Callithrix jacchus: one gene and its partner. The protein of the gene in region 2 purifies or fractionates together with the protein of the main gene of each other region. This does not show direct contact. Links are inferred from orthologs where the notes say so. Each region holds a gene or a part of one and is shown on either strand. Other genes may lie near its edges.

Evidence for each region.
Region 1: the proteins of SEC16A (region 2) and SEC23B purify together in Homo sapiens (affinity purification with mass spectrometry; 3 studies listed by BioGRID and IntAct, with this or other methods). This does not show direct contact. The link is inferred for Callithrix jacchus from reciprocal best matches to the Homo sapiens genes SEC16A and SEC23B.

What each region holds. Positions count from the first base shown.
Region 1 is NC_133506.1:25,509,772-25,519,974, reverse strand, and holds the start of SEC23B (protein transport protein Sec23B), read right to left. Parts: upstream 9,187-10,203; 5' UTR 9,094-9,186; intron 7,157-9,093; 5' UTR 7,143-7,156; coding exon 6,922-7,142; intron 5,414-6,921; coding exon 5,356-5,413; intron 3,807-5,355; coding exon 3,720-3,806; intron 1,955-3,719; coding exon 1,718-1,954; intron 1,427-1,717; coding exon 1,341-1,426; intron 565-1,340; coding exon 420-564; intron 1-419. UniProt on the Homo sapiens protein: Component of the coat protein complex II (COPII) which promotes the formation of transport vesicles from the endoplasmic reticulum (ER).
Region 2 is NC_133502.1:184,947,883-184,958,185, forward strand, and holds the start of SEC16A (protein transport protein Sec16A), read right to left. Parts: upstream 6,603-10,303; 5' UTR 6,588-6,602; coding exon 6,534-6,587; exon of another isoform or gene 6,487-6,533; intron 317-6,486; exon of another isoform or gene 195-316; intron 1-194. UniProt on the Homo sapiens protein: Acts as a molecular scaffold that plays a key role in the organization of the endoplasmic reticulum exit sites (ERES), also known as transitional endoplasmic reticulum (tER).

The DNA.
Region 1 (10,203 bases), on a different chromosome or scaffold from region 2:
CATTTTAGAAGTATACAGCCCCACCTCCAAGTATAGTTCAATTTCCAACAGAAATACTCCAAAGATGCATTCTCTCCAGCTGTTCTGAAAAGTGGTGATACTGCAAGAATAATACAGATGATAAAGCAGAAAAGCAACACTTATCTTCTTGAAGCCTGATGGTTTTGCATGCTTTTATTAATTCACTCTGAGTACTCCCCATTGCTCTAGTTGTCTTGGGTTTTCACAAAAACTTTTAGCATTTTCAAAATTTTGAGGGGCTCCCTCAAAGTGAATAACAATGATGCCAGAAATGCTTTCTGATAGGTTAACACAGACGGTTGCCTTAGATCACAAGTGATTTTCAAACAAAGCCAACAAATATATTTTCTGAGAGCAAGTCTGTATGATTTGAGAGGTCCTGGTAAATTACAAATTACCTCCAGCAAGCCAACAGCAATGGACAAAGCAACACCAGTGGATCGCAAAGGTCTCTTCCCCTGAGTTACTGGCCATGGGTCCCTCTGTAGTTCCCCAAGAAGATCAGTGAGGTTCATGTCAATCTTGTGAACAGGCTGCAGAAATCTACACGATTTTGAAGAGACACATCAACCCACATTGAATAAAGTACTCTGGTTCTGAACACTAGGTGCCACACAGTCACTGCTCTTCAAGATAATTACTCATAGTAGAAAATGACTGGTAATTTTTTTCTTCAAAGCTATCTCTCTACTAACACAAAACAATTTAAAGCAGTTTTATTGAGGAATATAAAGCCCAGTACTTAGAAACTGATACATGTTACATGGAGAAAGATTATCTTGAAAAAAAGCAATTCAGTCTAATTAAATTATAGGCAGCAAAGAAATCCTAAGAATGTGCCTAACACGAGCTCAGTCGACGTGAGGTCCATTTATGTGGACAGTCTTCATCACTCCTCACCATTCTAATCTGTGCTTCTCTTGAGCCCTGAGAGTTCAGAGGCTGTCTTCAGCTCATCAGGCAATGCATTTTATCAAGCTTTTAGCCCAGTCTAGGGCAGCCCCAGGCACTCAACGGGCCAAATGAAGTGAATACCTGGTCATAAGTATGTTTGAAACACATGAAAGAAGTCTTTTCAGGTTTTCCAGTTTTCCTTAAGCATCAAAAAGGACATCAGATGTGGAATGTCTAAGCACAGCAATTGAGCACAGTGGTCTCAAAACCTTTTTGATAAAACTCTGACTACTGATTAGGCTTAATCATTTATCTTTTCTCCTAAGAAGAAGAAAATAAAAGTTCTAATATTTTTCTTCCCTTAGTCCCATGGATGATCTGCATGTCCACCACAGTATGTGGAATACTCCATGTTGGGATCTCACCTGCTTGAAACAGAAGGGTGCTCCTGTGGTTGCGCAGGTCGTGCTTGCTGCATGGGCGTGGCTGGCTTTGTCAGGCCCAACATATCCTTTAAAAAAAGCCAAAAAGATTCACTGACAATGACACTAAAAGTGAATGACTAATTCTTAAGAAATGTCCTCAGCTGGGTGTGGTGGTACATGCCTATAGTCCCACCTGCTCAGGAGGCTGAGGTGGGCCAATGGCTTGAGCCTAGGAATTCAAGACTACAGTGAGCCACCATCGCACCACTGAACTCCAGCCTGGGCTACAAAGCGAGAGCCCAGTCTCTTTAAAAGAAAAAAGAGGAAAGAAAAAGGTCCTTGCTCCTGCTCCTGTACAAGTAAGGTAAGGTTCAAACCTGTATCTGCTTTGCAGTTAAATCCTTGGTCCCTCGGAAGACGTAACTTTTGGAGATTCCTTCACAGCTTAGTTCATGAACCTGCACCATCCTTCCAAATGTGATCAGACCCACCAGAGCATCTGGAGGAAGAAGACTCAATGACATCTGCAGGGACTCTTTGAGGGCTTGAAGGTCATCTTCTTCCAGGCATGTGTCAACCACATAGAGAAAGATCAGAGGGGACTGAGCACCTCGCTTTGGGCAAAGAAAAACAGCATAATGATCAATATGCAAATAGACTTAACGAGCACTTTTTAAAGCAAATTAGGTATGAAAATCATAAGTCTTTATCTAGTTTTAGGAAATAAGGACATCTACACAAAGCTCGAACTCATTAAATGACTCAGATGCTATTAAATCAAACTAAACACAGAAACTATCTGCATCCAACAATGTATTCAACTATTTTTTTAATACTTCCTACATGCCAGACATTGTTCCAGGTCCTGGGACACACAGTGAACAGAAAGAACAAAGACTTCTTGCTGCCTCGAGGAGCAAACTTTCTGTAATGGAGAGGTTAAGGGGGAATGCAAATGCCAGGAGGAGAGGAAGAGGGCAGAGTCAACTGTTAAACGGAGAGGTTAGGCAGCCTCATTTAGAGAGCAGCATATGAGCCGGGCTCATGCCTGTAATCCCAGCACTTTGGGAGGCTAAGGTGGGAGGACTGCTTATGCCCAGGAGTTCAAGACAAGCCTGGCAACATGGCGAGACCCCATCTCTAACAAAAGAAAAAAAGTAAAAAAAATTAAAAATTAGTTGGGCATGACGGCACATGGCTGTGTTCCCAGCTCTCAGGAGGAGGAGGCAGGAAGACCTCTTGAGCTCAGGAATTTGAGGCTGCAGTAAGCTATAGTTGTGCCACTGCATACCAGCCTGGACGACAGAGTAAGACCCCATCTTAAAAAAAAGGAAAAGAGGGCCGGGTGTGGTGGCTCACGCCTATAATCCCAGCACTTTGGGAGACCGAGGAGGGCAGATCACCAAGTCAGGAGTTCAACGCCAGCCTGGCCAACATGGTGAATCCCTGTTTCTACTAAAAATACAGAAATTAGCCAGGCATGTTGAGGTACACCTGTAATCCCAGCTACTCGGGAGGCTGAGGCAAGAGAATTGCTTGACCATAGGAAGCAGAGGTTTCAGTAAGCTGAGATCATGACACTGTCCTCCAGCCTGGGTGACAGAGCAAGACTGTCTCAAAAAAAGAAAGAAAAAGAAAGTAATGTTGAGCAAAGCCTGAGGGAGGAGAGGGAAGAAACATAACAGATACAGGGGAGAGCTCCAGCCTCAGCGAAAAGCTACAGCAGAGGTCCTCAGGCAGGAGTGTTCACATATTTGAGGAGAGTCAAGGGGGCCCACTGGGTTGATCAAGGACACTAGCAAACACTGAGGATGGAGTGGTAACATGCAAGGCTTTTTGAAAACTGTCTTTTACCCTGGGTAAAGGAAAGCCATTTTCACCACTGAGGTTTTCTTTACAGAGAAGTATATGATTTATGTTTTTAAAGAGTTACTCCGGCTGCTGGGTGAAGAATAATATACAAATAGGCAATGGTACAACATCAGGGAGAACAATTAGAAGCAGTTAGTACTAGAGAGAGGGAAGCGGATGGATTCTGGTTTCCGGTGGATTAGATATAGAATGGGAAAGAGAGAAGTGAAGGATGAGTCTAAGGTTTTGAAGCTAAAATACTAGATGATAGAGTACCATCTACCAAGATTGAGAAGACTACAGTGGACAGGTTTGGAATTTAATCAGTTCTACCTTTTTAGTAGCCTTCTATAATATCAAGACTTGAGAGCAATGCCAGCAGATGCATACACATCAAACCTAACAGTGAGGATTGTGCTGCCCTCACAGCTTTAAGTCCCCTACCCAGGTAAGAGACATGGAAGACAAAAGATTTCAAGAGAAACCAATATTTAATATTGCTCATTAAATGCACAGCAAAGAAATTACCTGTATCATGTACTCAATTGTAGAAAATTGGGGCATCAATTCAGCAGGCTGGTTCACCTCAGATATGCCTCCATAAGCTGGAGGAAACTGAAAAGAAGGAAACAGTTCTATTAGGGCCGGCACATCTACATTACACTTTTTATTTCCCACATATAAAAATGATAATGATGCTGAGATGAGAGGATCACTTGAGCCCAGGAGCTCAAAACCAGCTTGGGCAACACTATGAGACCTTCTCTCCACAAGAAGTAAAAAAATTAGTTGGGTGTGGTGGCTCACACCTGTAGTCCCAGCTACTCAAAAGCTGAGGTGGGAGGATCATTTGAGCCCAGGAGGCTGAGGCTGCAATGAGCCATGATTGCACCACTGCACTCCAGCCTGGCTCTTTAGCCACAATGCTACCCTGCCTTAGAATGTTTATAATAAGTTATATTAAACAGAGACATTAATCCCGAAGGTAAAAGGGAGCAGAAATGCTTTTAAGATTTGCATACACTTCTGAATCTCTTATGAAGATACATTTTGGTGACATCTGCTTACACTTTCTGAACCTATAGTCAGTCATCAATTATACACTGTTCTCCTCATCACTAGACTTATGTGTTGTATCTGAGAATGAGAGTAATTTTAATTATGATCAAATATATAAACAAATGCATGTGAAGAGCTTAAGATCTGTTAGAACAATATACACTATGCTGGACACAATTAACTTTTTTCTAACAACTTTATTGAGGTATAGTTTACATAACACAAAATTCACTCATTTTAAGTGCACAAGTCAATGGTTTTTAGTCAATGTACAGTTGTGCAACAATCATCACAATCCATTTTAGAACATTTTCAATATAGGAACAGTTACTTTTTTTTTTTTTTAAACAGAGTTTTGCTCGTCGCCCAGGCTCCAGTGCAATGGTGTGATCTCAGCTCACTGCAACTTCCACTTCCCGGATTCAAGCGATTTTCCTACCTCAGCCTTCTGAAGTAGCTGATGCCCGCCACCACGCCCAGCTAATTTTTTTTACAAAATTTTTAGTTGAGACGGGGTTTCACCATGTTGACCAGGCTGGTCTTGAACTCCTGACATTATGTGATCCACCCGCCTCAGCCTCCCAAAGTGATGGGATTACAGGCGTGAGCCACTGCTCTTGGCCAAGCACAGTTACTTTCAGAGAGAAGTCTCTCTTGTGATTTGTTAGCGCTTTCTAGTTTGGCAGTTTTTAAAGTTTCAAATCAAAAGAAGCTAACACTGATACTTGGATCCTAAAAGTTAGAAAGATCAGAAAACGGAAATTCAGTAATATACACTATCCAGTTAGAATATACTGAAGTCAAAAGAATTATGAACAGGTGCTTTCTAAGGGCAACAGATTCACTGACTGCAGAAAACGTGTAAGAAAAGAAATTCAACACATGTCCCCAACCCCCAAGCAAATTACAAGGACTCAAAGAAGAAAACCATTCAACACAATAAGCCACAAATGTTCAAATCCAATGTCGTGCTTAATAAAAGCTATCACCTTGAGTTCAGCAGAAACTGCTGACTGCCAATGTAAAGACAAATTCAACCTCACTTAATTTTTTTCATACAACTAAAATAAAACATATAACATATTTTAAAAAATAATTCACATACCTGATTTCTTTGAAAACAGAAATTACAGGCCCAAAGTTTTGCTCGATAATCAACCTGACTGTGAGAAAGATACATATTATAAGTAGGTACCACTTTTATTTTTAAGGTAGAAAGCATTTATTTATAAATTTCAAGTTCAGTACACCACACAAATAAGTGTTTCTATGTGTGCTGAAGAGCAACGGCGCGATCTAGGCTCACTGCAACCTCCACCTCCCAGGTTCAAGTGATTTTCCTACCTTAGCCTCCCAAAGTACCTGAGATTACAGGTGTCCACCACCATACCCAGCTAATTTGAGAATTGTGGCTAAGTACACCAAAATTTTCATCAAACAGCCACAGTGAAGAACTATCTATTTTTCTCTTTTCTAATTTCCTGATTTTTTAATTTATGTAAATTATAGGTTATTTTATTTACCTTTTACCTTTCATCTTAATGCATTCTGCATGGTTTTTTTCTAACATCTTTATAGTCTAGCTATGTGAAACTACTAAATTCCAACACTAAAAGCATGTTTCACACACAGGAAAATGTTTCTAGATTTTAACCTAACTTAGCCCACTTGAAGAAAAGTTGGAGCCGAGCATGGTGGCTCACACCTCTATTTCCAACACTTTGGGAGGCCAAGGCAGGCAGATCACAAGGTCAGTAGTTCAAGACCAGCCTGATCAACATGGTGAAATCCCGTCTCTACTAAAAATACAAAAATTAGCCGGGTGTGGCGGCATGTACCTGTAATCCCAGCTACTTAGGAGGCTGAGGCAAGAATCGCTTGAACCCGGGAGACAGAGGTTGCAGTGAGCTGAGACTGCAGCACTGCACTCAAGCCTGAGCAACAGAGCGAGACTCCATCTCAAAAAAAAGAAAAGTTGGGCAAGCACATTTCACTTCCTCAAATTGGTTCAGGATAATGCTTCAGTTACTTTCCCCACACTTTCTACATTTAGAAAATGAATAACCAGTGGCTATGATTTTAAAATCAGAGCAGCAGCACTCATAGATGGGCATATTACATAAAAGCAATGGGGATGAAGTAAAAAATGTTCCTTCATATAAAAATTTTATGACACTCTCTACCTGTTTAAAAATTATTTCAAATAATGCCTACATTTAAAAGAAGTTCTTTAGGTCACTACCTCAAGCACACACAAAAAATTACACTTAACAAACTGTTGAGTTAAAATTTCTTCTGCCTATTATGTCTCCCTGCCATACAGCATCAATGATTAAGGGAAGCATGAGAAGCCAGTCTAAAGCTTTTGAATTCTTTCAGGAAATTACTTTAAGAGGTATCAATAAAGTCTATAGTTAAGTCAAAAGCAAACTGATTATCAGCAAAAAAAAGTGAATTACAAATCCCCTCCCTCTACCTCATTCCTCTAAGATTCCAATTTTATCTGGAATTACCAGGCCAGGGAAATTTCTACAAATATTCACCACCTAATACTCACCTTAAGAATCTTACCATCTACTACTCATCAGAAATCGATGACTTTCATGAGCATCACATACAAGTCATTATATATTATATTTATCAGTTTTACCAGTTTCAAAAGAATCCATACCAAAGTGGGTTGAGAACAGCTTTACAAGTTGGCCTGCTGCAAAGCACAGGTTCATATTGTACAGGAGGTAGGTCTGGACGTTCTTTCAATGGAGTAAGGAGACAAGCCAGGGGTACAACCATTCTTGTGGCCTCTAGCCGGCTGGAAGGCCACACATTCCAACTAAAGCGCACACCATCTCGTTCTTCATTCTGCTGGATGAACTCCAGGTAAGTCGCCATAGTCTAGAAGGGAACTGAAGATACAACTTTAATGACCTTAATGGTACGTGAAATTCTGAACTAAATGTCAAAAAAAAAAAGATGGGTCATGTATCACAGTTCTTCTTTCTTTTTTTTTTCCTTCAATCTCAGCTTGCTGCAGCCTCCATCTCTTGGGTTCAAGCGATTCTCCTGCCTCAGCCTTTCAAGTAAGTGGGATTTTGAGTACCCACCACCACACCCAGCTAATTTTTTGTATTTTTAGTAGAGATGGGGTTTTACCATGTTAGCCAGGCTGGTCTCAAACTCCTGACCTCAGGTGATCTACCGGCCTTGGCCTCCCAAAGTGCTGGGATTACAGGTGTGAGCCACTGCACCTGGACCATCTAACAGTGTTTCTTAAATATTCTGAAAGAACTTGTTGCTGTAGAATGACAGTATTTCCCTTCCCTCTGATACCCAAAAGTCAGTTAACTGTACAGTTATCATTGAACACTGCTCCTTTCTCAACTCTCCTCTCAAGCACTTAAAAATAAATCGAAGGATTAAGAGGTTTATAATCACCTAATCATCTCCAAACTATATGTAGTTAAATACTACTACTTCAAACCTCCTCACAGATCTCACAGTCTATCAGTCAAGCCAATTTTAACCCCGTGCCCAAGGGTAACTCTTGAACCCTGTTTCAGCATCCAACTATCTTCCTCTCTAATCTCCTTTTCTTGCTGTTAAATTTTATATTCCAAGTGATTTTTTTTCCAGTGGTGGGGGTGTGCTCATTCCCTTCTGCACTTTGTTAACTTTGGAGAAAAGAGCTGGATCCTGATCTTCCAAGTTTGGTTCACAATGGGAACCAGTTCTGAGCTAAAATATTTCTACTTAGTATTACCAAAATTACTATTACACTGAGTCTCACCAGAACCTCTTTCCTCGCCACGGTTGCTTATGTTCATGCCTTGAAAAACTGTGGTCAAGGCCAGGCGTGGTGGCTCAAATCTGTAATCCTAGCACTTTGGAAGGCCGAGGCAGGCGGATCACAAGGTCAGAAGTTCCGGACCAGCCTGGCCAACACGGCAAAACGCCGTCTCTACTAAAAATACAAAAATTAGCTGGGCGTGGTGGCGGACGCCTGCAATCCCGGCCACTTGGGAGGCTGAGGCAGGGAGAACTGATTGAACCGGGAGGCGGAGGTTGCAACTCAACTGCACTCCAGCCTGGGCGACAGACCGAGACTCCATCTCAAAAAAAAAGGTACTGGCTCAATCTAATGGTCTTCAGGTATGTACAGCCTAAGACCTGCTCCCTCCTTTTCCCACTGCCGGTTTCTCTCATCCTTCTAGGTCACGGATTCTTAGCCATGGGCACATAATCCAAAGGGGACTACAGAAGGTGCACGAATCCTCTGAAGTTGTGGGCATGAGGGAATGTGCGCCTTTTTCTAGGGAGTTGGGTCCATGGCTTGTACCAAATTATCAAAGTGGAGGGCATCTGAAGAGGTAAATAACTGAAAATATGAATTAGTGAATGAATGAAAGTCCTGGAAAAATAACAGTAGGAGAATCCACCAAAAATTCTGAACCACTCTCATCTCGCCAACTCAAAACTTCTCAGGACGCAGTGACCATCTGTATACAAAAATTAGGTTTAATCCTTGAAGGGAGTCCAAGGAACTGGGTTCTAGTTCCAGCTGTCATGAAGCAAAAGTCGTTTCATTTGTCTGAGTCTTGAGTTTCACAACTATAAAACCCAGAATTGGTCCTTTCAGCTGTGCGGACCCCGCAATTCTGGGGAACCTGGAGCCAGAAATTAATCCAGGCCTGGCGCGAGACCCTCAGCGGATTATTGGACCATCGATTATCCCCGCTACCCCAAGCTGCGGAGAAGAATCCTCATTCCAGAAGCCGCCCACCTCACCTCTGGCAGAGACTCATACCCGTGCCCTCGCCCTCCGTCCCCTATGCGCCCCACTCACCCGGCCGGAGCCGCTCACTTGGCTAGATTCGTCCTCACTCACAGCTGCAACAGCACGGTGCCGACTCCCACCGCCAAGTCCAGCTCAGCTCTCAACCGATTGGCCAGCCCCAGCGCGTCACGCCATGGCGCTGTCCACTGGCCAATCAAAGAGCGCTTCTCCGACGGACGGGCGGAAGCGAGCGATTCGGAAACGCCCAGCCACCATCTTGGAACAGGGCAAAACAACTGTGTCTCGCACTTCAAAACCACAGTTCCTCGGAACACGTTTCACCAGGCCTAAACGTTTCTGCTTCAGAAAACTCCAGCGACTGCCGCCCCGTTGCCTAACCTCAGCCAGCGATCATCAGAGGTTCGCCCTGATACAATATGACATCCGCTCCTCTCAGCGGGAAGTCCGGCTGATCGCCTTAGCTACCGGAATGTGAGAATGATGACGTATCCTCCCGGAAAAGGGAGGGGCACCAGCCGGAGGAAACTAAGGCTGCCGGAAGAAGGCGCCAGCGTGTGGAAGGGGCTGGGCGGAGGGGTGTGGCGGGTGGTGAGCGTGGAGGCGCGTAGGCGCTTGCTGGGCTGTGTGTCCGGTCGCTGTGGCCAGTCCCACGTAGATCTTGGTCCTGGAGCCATCAGGTACTGGGTTGTGGAAGCAGCTCGTGTGTAGAACCAGTTCTCATCGTAGGGAGCAAGCTCTTTGTGCTTGGCCAGCTTGACGGTGGCCACCCATTCCCGGACTTTCAGCTTCCCGGACTTTTTGAGAAAGGCTGCCAGAGCTCGCTCCGACGAAGTCCTGCTGGTTCACGTCTTTTGCAGTAACTCCAAGCACTGTGTGGCCTCCGCGCTGCCAGCCAGGGAAAAGGGAGCAACGGGGTTTCCCGCAAGTTCCTAATTGTTGTTGCCATGAATGGGGAAAAATCCACCAACTGTGGGCAAATCAGAAATAAAACCCAAATGAATAGGAAGGAGGAAGAAACCTAGAGAGAAAGTCAGCAACGCTGTGGTACTATTCCTACTTGGTGTTCACTCTGGGAGCCAGGTAAAAATGTGCTTGGGCTTATCAGCCCCGTGGAGTGTTCCTTCAGTAATGTGGTTTACCTGGTTCTGTCTGGGGAAT
Region 2 (10,303 bases):
TTCTCTGATGAAAGAGTGTTAAGAATAGTTATAAAAGCTGCAAGATAGGCTGGGTGCAGTGGCTCATGCCTGTAATCCTAGCACTTTGGAAGGCCGAGGTGGAAGGGCTGCTTGAGGTCAAGACCCGCCTGGGCAACATAGCAAGACCCTGTCTCTACAAAATAAGAAAAGTAGGCAGACATGGTAGCACACACCCGTAGTCCCAGGAACTCAGGGGGTTAAGGTGGGAATATCGCTTGTGTCCATGAGTTCGAGGCTGCAGTGAGCTATGATTGTACTACTGTAGTCTAGTCTGGGCAACAGAGTAAGACTGTCTCTATTTAAAAAATAAAAACAAATAAATAAAAAGTGACACAATACTCTTCTGAAAAGCACTGGAAAATAAATATGTTTATCTAAATGCCTTTCTCTCACCACTTCATAGGTCTCATGTTTTGTGACTGGCTTAAGGTCTGAAAGTGCCACCAGCAAGACAGCGCCTCCTTTGAACTGGAGCTGTAACTACACCTGGAATGAAAGCTCCAAGGAACCTGATCGCAGCTTTACAAGTGACAAGACTGGATTCAAAATTTTCAGCAACAGACAGAATTGCCAACAAACCTCTCGCAGAAAACAAAGGGGCAAAAACCTTCATCAGTGTTTTTTTGGTTGCTGTTTTAAAAAAATATATAGTAAATACAAACTTGAATAGTTAACATGGACTCTTAAGGCAAAAATTCAAGTGCTGTTATCTTTAGGAAAGTTCTTTTCTTTCTATCAGTCTTTCTTCTTCTCAGTACCACCCTCATGAACAAACAGGTAAGTTTAGCCAATCAAAGGAAAGATTAAACCCGAGGAGAGAACTCTTGGGAGGACTCTGGGGTTTCATCCACACATTTTTGCAGACGTATATTTTTTTTGTCCTTGGAAATCTTTCTGATATTCAGATAAAAGAAGAAAACATTGGCCAGGTGCAGTGGCTCACACCCATAATCCCAGCACTTCGGGATCCAGAAGGCTCACTTGAGTTCAGAAGTTTGAGCTCAGCCTGGGCAACACGGTGATACCCCATCACCGCAAAAAAAAAAAAAAAAAAAAGGCCAAGCATGGTGATGCATGCCTGTAGTTCCAACTACTTGGGAGGCTGAGGTGGGAGGATTGCTTGAGCCAGGGAGGTTGAGGCTGCAGCAGTGAGCCTTGTTCAAGCCACGACACTCTAGCCTGGGCAACAATGCGAGATAGTCTCAAAAAAGAAAAAAAAAAAAAGAAAGAAGATGAAAACATTGGTCAATGTATTTTAAGTAAAATATTTACAAATTAAAATTCCTGTGCTGACTGACCTATGAACTAGTCCTGTCAACCTACTGCACCAACACTGTTAATGCTCGCATATGCTCTCTCTGATGCCAACAGGGGACCGTTTCCAACTTACAGGCACCTGGAAACCCACTTGACGCTAACAGAAGTCTACTATCAGGAGCAGCGGCAAAGGCTTCACTGAGTTCTAGGCTCTTATTTGAAACAAAGAATGTTCACAGCTCTATTTTAGACGGACTGAAAAGAGAACAGGGAGAACATCTCCCTCCTATCTGTGGACTGGCATTCTCTTCCACTTGGTCCAACCAGCTGCAGAGCCACAGCAGACAGAGCAACCTGCAACCACAGCCAGAATCCGAACTTCCAAGCCCTCTCGAAGCTCCGCCGCCAGAACGGGGGTCCTACGTCATCTCTCCAGACATGGCCCTACCCCAGGAAGATCAGCTCCGTCCTCAACAGCTTTCGTTTGTTTGCTCTAAACACAGAGCACGGACCTCAAGCTTTTTTTTTTTTTTTTTTTTTAAGAAGGGGAAAAAAAGAAAAAGAGGGAAAAAGGAATATTACTTCATTCCTAAAATGAGTTTCAATAATGGCCGATCAATATTTTGAGTGTTTAAAGTGGTTAATGCATATTTTATGTGTTTAAAATGGAGACCTCTATTGTGTTTATTTGTTCTGGCTCTGAGTTCAAGTCCTGGATATCGTTATCAATTTGTTGTCTCGTTGAATCTAAATCTCATTATGTGTCTTATGTATCTGGGTGTTAAGATCTCTTATTGTTGCATTAATCCTTTTACCCTTGCATCCTTGTAGCTTTGAAATCTATTTTATTAAGTGTGAGAATTGCAACTCCTGTTTTTTATTTATTTATTTTTGCTCTCCATTTGGTTGGTTTTTTTCCATCCCCTTGTTTTGAGTCTTTGTATATCTTTAGATATATCGTCAGATTTTGTGGATAATGTATATTTTGTGTGTTTAAAATGGAGAGCTCTATTGAGTTTATTTGTTCTGGATCTTAGTTCCAGTCCTGGATATCGTTATCAATTTTCTGTCTCGTTGAATCTGAATCTCATTATGGGTCTTATGTATCTGGGTGTTAAGATCTCTTATTATTACATTAATCCTTTTATCCTTGTAGCTTTGAAATCTATTTTGTCAAATGTGAAAATTGCAACTCCTGCTTTTTATTTATTTATTTTTGCTCTCCATTTGGTTGGTACGTTTTTTTTTTTTTCCAACCCTTTATTTTGAGTCTATGTATATCTTTGGATATACCGTTAGATTTTGTCTGTATCTTTTGATTGGGAGATTTGGTCGATTTAAATTTAGGGTTGCTGCCGTTTGATATTAACTGGCTATTTTGTCCTTTCGTCGATAAAAATTCTTCTTTATGTTAATACTCTTTACTTTTTGGTGTATTTTTAGAAAGGGTCATACTGGTTGTTCCTTTCTGTGTATAGTGCTTCTTTTAGAAGTTCTTGTAAAGCAGGCCTGGTGGTAATAAAATCTCTGAGTACTTGCTTGTTCCTAAAAAATTTTATTTTTCCTTCAAATGTAAAGCTTAAATTGGCAGGATATGAAATTCTGGGCTGAAAGTTCTGTTGATTAAGTATATTGAATATTGGCCCCCACTCTCTTCTAGCTTGTAGGGTTTCCATTGAGAGATCTGCTGTAAGCCTAATAGGCTTACCTTTATGGGTAACTTGATCTTTCTCTCTGGCTGCCCTTAATATTTTCTCCTTCGTTTCGATCTTGGTGAATCTAACGATTATGTGCCTTGGGGTTGGTCTTCTTGAGGAATATCTTTGTGGTGTTCTCTGTATTGCCTGGGGTTGAATAGTGTCCTGCTTTGCTAAATTAGGAAAATTTTCCTGGATAATGTCCTGGAGAGTATTTTCCAGCTTGACTTCATTCTCTCCGTCACATTCAGGTACACCAATCAAGCGTATATTAGGTCTTTTCACATAGTCCCATATTGCTTGGAGACTTTGCTCATTCCTTTTTATCCTTTTTTCTCTATTCTTGTCTTGTTGTTTTGTTTCATTAAGTTGATCTTCGACCTCTGATACCCTTTCTTCTGCTTGATCCATTCGGCTGTTTAAGCTTGTACATTTTTCACTAAGTTCTCGTGTTGTATTTTTCAACTCCATAAGTTCATTTGTATTCCTCTCTATATTGTCTATTCTTTTCAACATTTCATCGAACCTTTTTTCCAAGTTCTTAGTTTCTTTACATTGGGTTAGAACGAGTTCCTTTAACTCCCAGAAGTTTCTTATCATCCACCTTTTAAAGCCTACTTCAGATAATGGAACACAGTCCTTTTCCATCAGGGCTTGTTCCGTTACTGATGAGTCCTTCTCCATCAGGGCTTGTTCGGTTGCTGATGAGTCCTTTTCCATCAGGGCTTGTTCCGTTGCTGATGGGTTCTGACCTTGAGTATACTCGGCCTTCTTAGGCTGTTTTTTTCCCTTCATTGTAGATGAACCGCCTTTCTAATTAGTTTTCTGAGTCGACGTCTGACTTATTGATTCCCAGTGTTGGGATCCGAGCAACCCACTGTGGCAGCCTAAATAGCAGCGGTAAGACTGATGGTGCTCTTCTGCCCGGGAATCTCTGGTCTGGCTTCCCTCTTGAGTCCGCAACAAGCGGCTCTGACTTCCCGGAGCTCCAAACTCCAGTCAGTAGGGGAAGCAGTCCCGTTGGCTCTGCATGAAGAGCTGCGGCACCGAGACGCCGGCAAAACCGCTGCGGCGGCCACAAGAGTCGCGCTGGCGACCCGTGGGGCTCCTCCACTGGGAATCAGCTGATCAGTGAGTGACGAAAATTTGTCTAAAAGTGTGGCGTCGTCTCATTCTCTGGGCTTTCACTGGGAGCTACAATCCTGAGCTGTTAGTGGTCGGCCATCTTGGATCGATCCTCGGACCTCAAGCTTTATTCCTCGGCTGCTGCTATGACAGCAGAACTGGGCATTCGAGTGAGTGGCTCGAAGCAGCCATGACTCTTTCGGCAATGTGTTTTTATTACCAAATGAGAGAATCAATGTGATTATTTTTTTCCTAAAACCATGGGTTTAACCTTATGAGATTCTACTCATGGTAGATTCGGGATGTCCTAATCCCACCTGCTGTTTAACAGGGGAATCTTATCAGAATCTAAATTTCACTGGTTTATACTTAAATGTTTTCCTTGTAGACATTTTCTTAAAATTATTCTGCAGCTCTCCTCCTAGACTAAGAACTTTCTTTTTTTCTGAGATGGAGTCTTGCTCTGTTGCCAGGCTGGAGTGCAGTGGCATGATCTCGGCTCACTGCAACCTCTGCCTCCTGGGTTCAAGCGATTCTCCTGCCTCAGCCTCCTGGGTAGCTGGGGCTACAGGCGTGTGCCACCATGCTCGGCTAGTTTTTTGAATAGTAGTAGAGACAGGGTTTCACCCAGAATGGTCTCCATCTCCTGACCTTGTGATCCACTTGCCTCACCCTCCCGACATGCTGGGATTACAGGTGTGAGACAGTGCGCCCAGCCCAACTAAGAACCTTTTAAATAGCAAACACTATCACTTACCTACAAAGGAGCATTCTAACCCTCATGCTCCCTAAATGAGAGCTTTTTAGCAACTCGCCAATTTCATTTGGAACAGTCTTGTGACCTGAACTGATTTTTATCTTTTTCTCTACTCACCAGGAGAAAGCAATGCCACTGCCTATCACCTATGTCACCACTACAAGGGAGCTAGCTTATTTAAGTCATCTAAGTCTTTCACTGTTTCAAAGAGGCCACCTGACCTTGAAGATGCAGTATTCATAAACCTAGCTAGTCAGTTAAATTGCCTTGTAACCATATGCACACCTAAGCAAAACTCTTTTCAGTAGAGTTCTGGCTACAGAACTGAGGTAAACACGCGCACACCCTTCTTCACTGTCACTGGCCTCACATTTTAGGTAAAGAAAACAAAGGTGTTCCAGGAAGCCTCTGAGCTTACATGCTGCCCAGTCTCCCTCACGGTGGCAGCTAGTGACTCCCTGTCAGACAATGGGATGCTTAACACAAAGACATGATAAACTCCAACTCTTCTAAGTTAGAATCGCAACCACATAAAGTTGGGTGTTGAAGACGAAGCCAGCGGCAGAGGCAGCCAGCAGCCTAGTACTGCTGAAAATGACCAAGACCCAAAAGGACACCCCGGTATTCATCAAGGATATTTACAGAAGAGGAAATCATATTGACATTTACCCACTACCATGGCCTCTCAGGTTTGGCAGAAAAAAGAAAGAAAGAAAGAAAATGTACCCACTGCCTCAAAGAAAACTTTCAGTACAATTCTGAGACTCACTGTAGTAACCACTATTAACAGTAAACGAGGAACAGGGAACAAGAAAGAAACGTTACTTTGCCTCTTTTCTGCCAGATACCAGCACCGGAACCCTAAGAAAGGAGACGGGGAAAAATGCAGGGAGGCTGCCTTGTGCTGAAACTTGCAAAAGTATCACTCGGGAAGAACTGTCTGCGGTTCTGTTTGCTTCGTACTGCCACATGGGGGATGGGAAATACCTCTTTGGTTAACATCGGCATCATACACGTAAAACGCAATCTTAATATACAATCCACACCCAACCTACAAGCCACTTAAAAGTGTTCTTAAGTGAAGCAGCAAAAACTGACTTTAAATCGCTCCGATGTTTCTGAAGCCTCTACTGTAACACTTCCATGACAAAGGGGCGAGACGGATCACACACACTCCTCTAACCCTCGGCCTCTGTTGCAACACCCGGATCGCCCTATCAAGAAATTACAAATAAACAACTCTGCTCCTTGGTTCAAATGTAAATCTCTCTTCACCAGCACCGCTAAGGAAACCTTCCAGCCGGTGAGGACAAGACACGTTCATTTGAAAAGCTGGGGTTTTACGAGGGGTGCCTGGGGTAAGCCTCCCGCCGGGGGTACAGGCGTCACCGCGGCCCAGCCGGGTCCACGTGAGTCCCTTCAGTCCCACGGCGCGCCTTGCCGCGCCCGGCCTCCCGCTCCAGCCTGCGGACCCCGGCGTCAGTCTCCTCGCCCGGCTCCGACGGGACCCGAGCTGCGCCGCCCGCTAGGGGCTGGGCCTCGCCGCCTCCCCTCCGCCGCGCCCCGGCCTCCACTGCCTGGCTCCTCTGGCCGGCCTCCGCCTTCCTCGTCCCGCGCTCGCCCCCTCACCCGCGCGGCAGAGATCGGCTGCTCAGGAGCCGCGCGTGAAAGCCCACCCGGCGCTGATGACGAGCGCAGACACGGAAACTGCCGCAGCCATCTTGGCACATCCGGCTCCGGTCTCCGCGGCCGCCGCGCCGCCGACGTGTCCGTCTTGCGACATCAGCGCGCGCCCCGCCCCTGTCCCCGCCCCTCGGCTCGGCGGCCCAGTTGCATTCTCATTCATCCCTTTACGGCCCAGGCCTCGTCCCCGGCCCTCGCCGGCGTCCGTCCCCTTCAGCCTCATCTCTGTCCCGCCGCCCTTATCCCCGCCCTCGCCGGCGTCCCTTCTTCCCCGCCTCATTCTTTCGTCCCGTCCCCCGCCCGTCTTTCCGCGCCGTCTCCTGTAGTTCCCTCCCCTTTGGCCCCGCCCCTCGGCCGTCCCTCCCGGCCCGTGGCCCCGCCCCCCGCCGGCGTCCATCCACCGCCTCACCGCTTGGCCCCGCCCCTCGCCACCTGCCCAGCCGGACGCGCCGGGGCCGCCCCGGGACGTCGCCTTGGTTACGCTGGCTCTTTCTCCCAGTCTTTTTTCGTTTTAAGATGTGAGAAGTGATGGGATTCTTCACTCAAGGCCACAAGGGGGAAATCAGTCTGCAGGACCGATGCTAGCAGGCTCACGCAGCGAGAACGGCTACTCTGCCTCACTGAGAAGCGCAGGGCCCTCACGCGGGCGCGCTCCTCTCATTCTTCCGTTGGGCCGGGAGGCTGGAGGGCAGGAGGCGGCGGCGGCGCCGGCGCATGCGCCGAGGGCGGTAGGAGCTGCGGGCCGCCGAGGGCCTACTGCGCCTGCGCGCTGGTTGCCTGGCTACGGCGCGATCGCGGGCCCTGAGCGGCGCCGGAAGTTGGTCGACGGCGACCGGCAGTGCCAGTCCAGGGTCCTGGGGTTTCCCCGACGCATCCTCTGCAGGCCGTTCGCTCCGCAGAGGCCCCAGCAGGGGAGGGCGGCCCGGCCACCGCGCGGAGCCGGGTCTTCGCCGACCCCCCAGAAGGACGCGCGGGCTCCACGTCCCCGAGCTCGGCCACGAGCCTGTGCCGCGCCGGGTCCTCCCACGCCCACCCCGGCCCCGGCCCCGGCCCCGCAGTCCTGCCGGGGAGGCGCGGTTTTCTGGCTTCGTCTCCTCGGCCTCCAGCCCCACGGGGCCCTAGGGTCCCAGCCCTGGCCTAGTGCACGTTGGTGGTGAGTGGGCGCTCGGGCGCCCACAGCGACCCAGCGGCGGGCGAGGCGTATGGGTGCTCCTGCCCCTGCGACGGCCAGGCCAGGCAGCATCCGTGCCCCCGCCCCCCGCGGAAGATCGCAGGGAACTGGTGGGCGCTGTCATCTGTGCCCTCATTTTCCGGAGGAACCCAGGGAGGCCGGGCGGGTGAGGAAGCGGCCATCCGTGTACCGCCCACTCACCTGCACCCGTACCTTGCAAGGACAGGGAAGAGCCGTGGCATTCCTCTGCAGCTCCTTCCAGAGGGCAGGTGTCGGTGGTGGGAGTGCCCGCCCGAGTGCATCGCCGAAGCTGAGCTCCCAGCAGCGGCTGAGGTCCTCCCTTTGGGAGCCACCCTGGTCCCCAGCGGGGCGGGAGGCTGGTACCTGTGCCACGCTAGCAGAGCCCCAGGCGGTGCCGGGAGAGGATCGCCCCAGCTGACGTGGCACCAGGGCCACTCTGCTCAGCTAACATTTGCCTTTCAGGAGTCAGATTCCTGACCTGTTTGAACACAGAGTTAGGGAACACGTGGTAGGGCGCAGCCCCAGCCCTGCTGGGAGAGGTGACAGTGACACCAGCCTCACTGCCCCCATCTTTCCGGTGGTCCAGGCGCTCTGCAGCCTCCCCTTAGGGAGGTGTCATTATTAGCCCTTCCCAAAGAGGGGAACGCAGAGGTGGGTGCAAGTTGAGTTCAAAGAACCCAAGAGCCAGGAGCCCAGGACTCTACCCTCTAGGTTCCTCCAGAACCCTGTGGTCCCACCCAGGTGGGCTCTAACCTGCAGAAGCCATAGCTGCAGAAGCCAACGCTGCCCTAAGCATAAAATGGGAGGTCTCTGGACCCCAGGGCAGGAGCCCCAGGGCAGGGATGTTAGAAAGCAGCTTATGGTGGCTCCTAGGGGTGTGGAGCACCATATCGCCTGCAAGGGGTTGGCCGTCTTTCTTCCCCTCCTCTCCCTAATACTAGGAGTGCATGGACACAGCTCTCAGCAGTCTGTGGCCTGGTGTTGGAATAGGCTCCTGCACCCTACACCTGAGCCCATCCAACCTCTGGGCTATAGACTGTTCCGCTGAAGGCCCGGCCTGCCCCTGAGACACTGTGTGCCTAGTCTCTGAGCATCATGTCCTGGCCGCTTAAAGAGAGCAACATAAGCACCTAAACACTTCAGGGCTGAGATGGGTCCTGCTGATGGGTGTGCCAGGACATCAGGCCTGGTGGGGGTGGATGTCGACATCAGGTGAATGGCTGCGGGCTGCAGGGGCCTCCTGCCAGTGCTGGGAGGTGTCCTGTCCGCGGTGGCCATCGCCATTCCTGGCGGAGCTTTATTGCCTTTGGCTGCAGCATCCACTGGTTTCTCCATTCTCCCAGTCTCTGCCCCTGCTCACACTTGGAGGCTGGACACAAAAGTCACCACCTCCCTGAAGCCCCCCTAGGTGGGCCAGATGATTCTGGTGCAAAACTCTGTGGCCACTGCTGTACCGCATTACACAGAGCACACAGGACAGGCTCGTGTGTGTCCAGGCTGTGCCGGGAAATCCTCTACCCCTGTGTCTTCACAGTGTGTCCTTGGTGCCTCTGTCCGGTCAGCTCCTCCCGTTAGCCATGCTGTCCAGTCCAGCGGCTGCTGTTGCGTGCTGTGAGCCTGAGCTGCGCTCTAAGTGTAAACTACGTGCTGGCTTGTGAAGGGTACAAATATCTAAGGGATCATTTTTTATTGCACATTGAAATGACTATTTTGGATGTATTAAATAAAATGCTGTTAAAATCTATTTCACCTGTCTCTTGTTTTCCACATAGCTGCTAGGAAATGTGAAGCTGGGTATATGGTGGCGGTTGTATTTCTGCTGGACCACGCTGGTCTCCAGGCGGGCACTCAGCCTCCCTAGCCTGTGCGTAGAGCCTCCTACTACAGGGCCCTGAGGTGCTGGAGGCTGCCGAGTGGACCTGGTGCTTTGCTGACAAGCAGCAGTCCTCCAGGGAGCCCCTGGGGGAGCAGTGGTCTCAGCGAACGCAGGACAGCCCCTCCCCGTGAGTCTCTGACCCTCTTTCCTACCTGGCATACAATAGCAGTGGCTATTGTCTGGGGTCTCGTGGAAGTATAAGGGGCAGGCGTCCCCCCGCCGGACACTGCTCAGCCCCTGACACAGACCCTTAGTCCTGAACACTGAAGCTGGAGGCTTGGCCTGGGGAGAGGAAGGGGCAGTCTCTGTGAGGCAGGGTTGGCCTAGTGGTCCGGGAAAAAAACATGTGAAGGCCTCTGAGGTGGAAAGAACTAACCAAGTGCTTCCTGGAGGAGGAGGAAGCAGGGCTGGTAGGACGGAGTCATCTGGAGGCAGGGTCCACAGCGTTCGTTCTGTGGCATTTGCTTATCAGGCTCCTACAATAAGGGGTCTCTGTTAACATACCACCAGGTTGGCCAGAGGGTGGGCCAGGCTTCCTCTCCTTACCCTCATGGAGGAGAGGAAGTGACCCTGTGAGGGTAAGGCCAGACCCCAGGGCCATGGTGGGCAGCATGGAGGGAGCCTCAAGCCCACTGGCTTCCATGGGCAAGGCCTGCCAAGCACACAGCATAGGATCTGCAAACATGCCCACCATG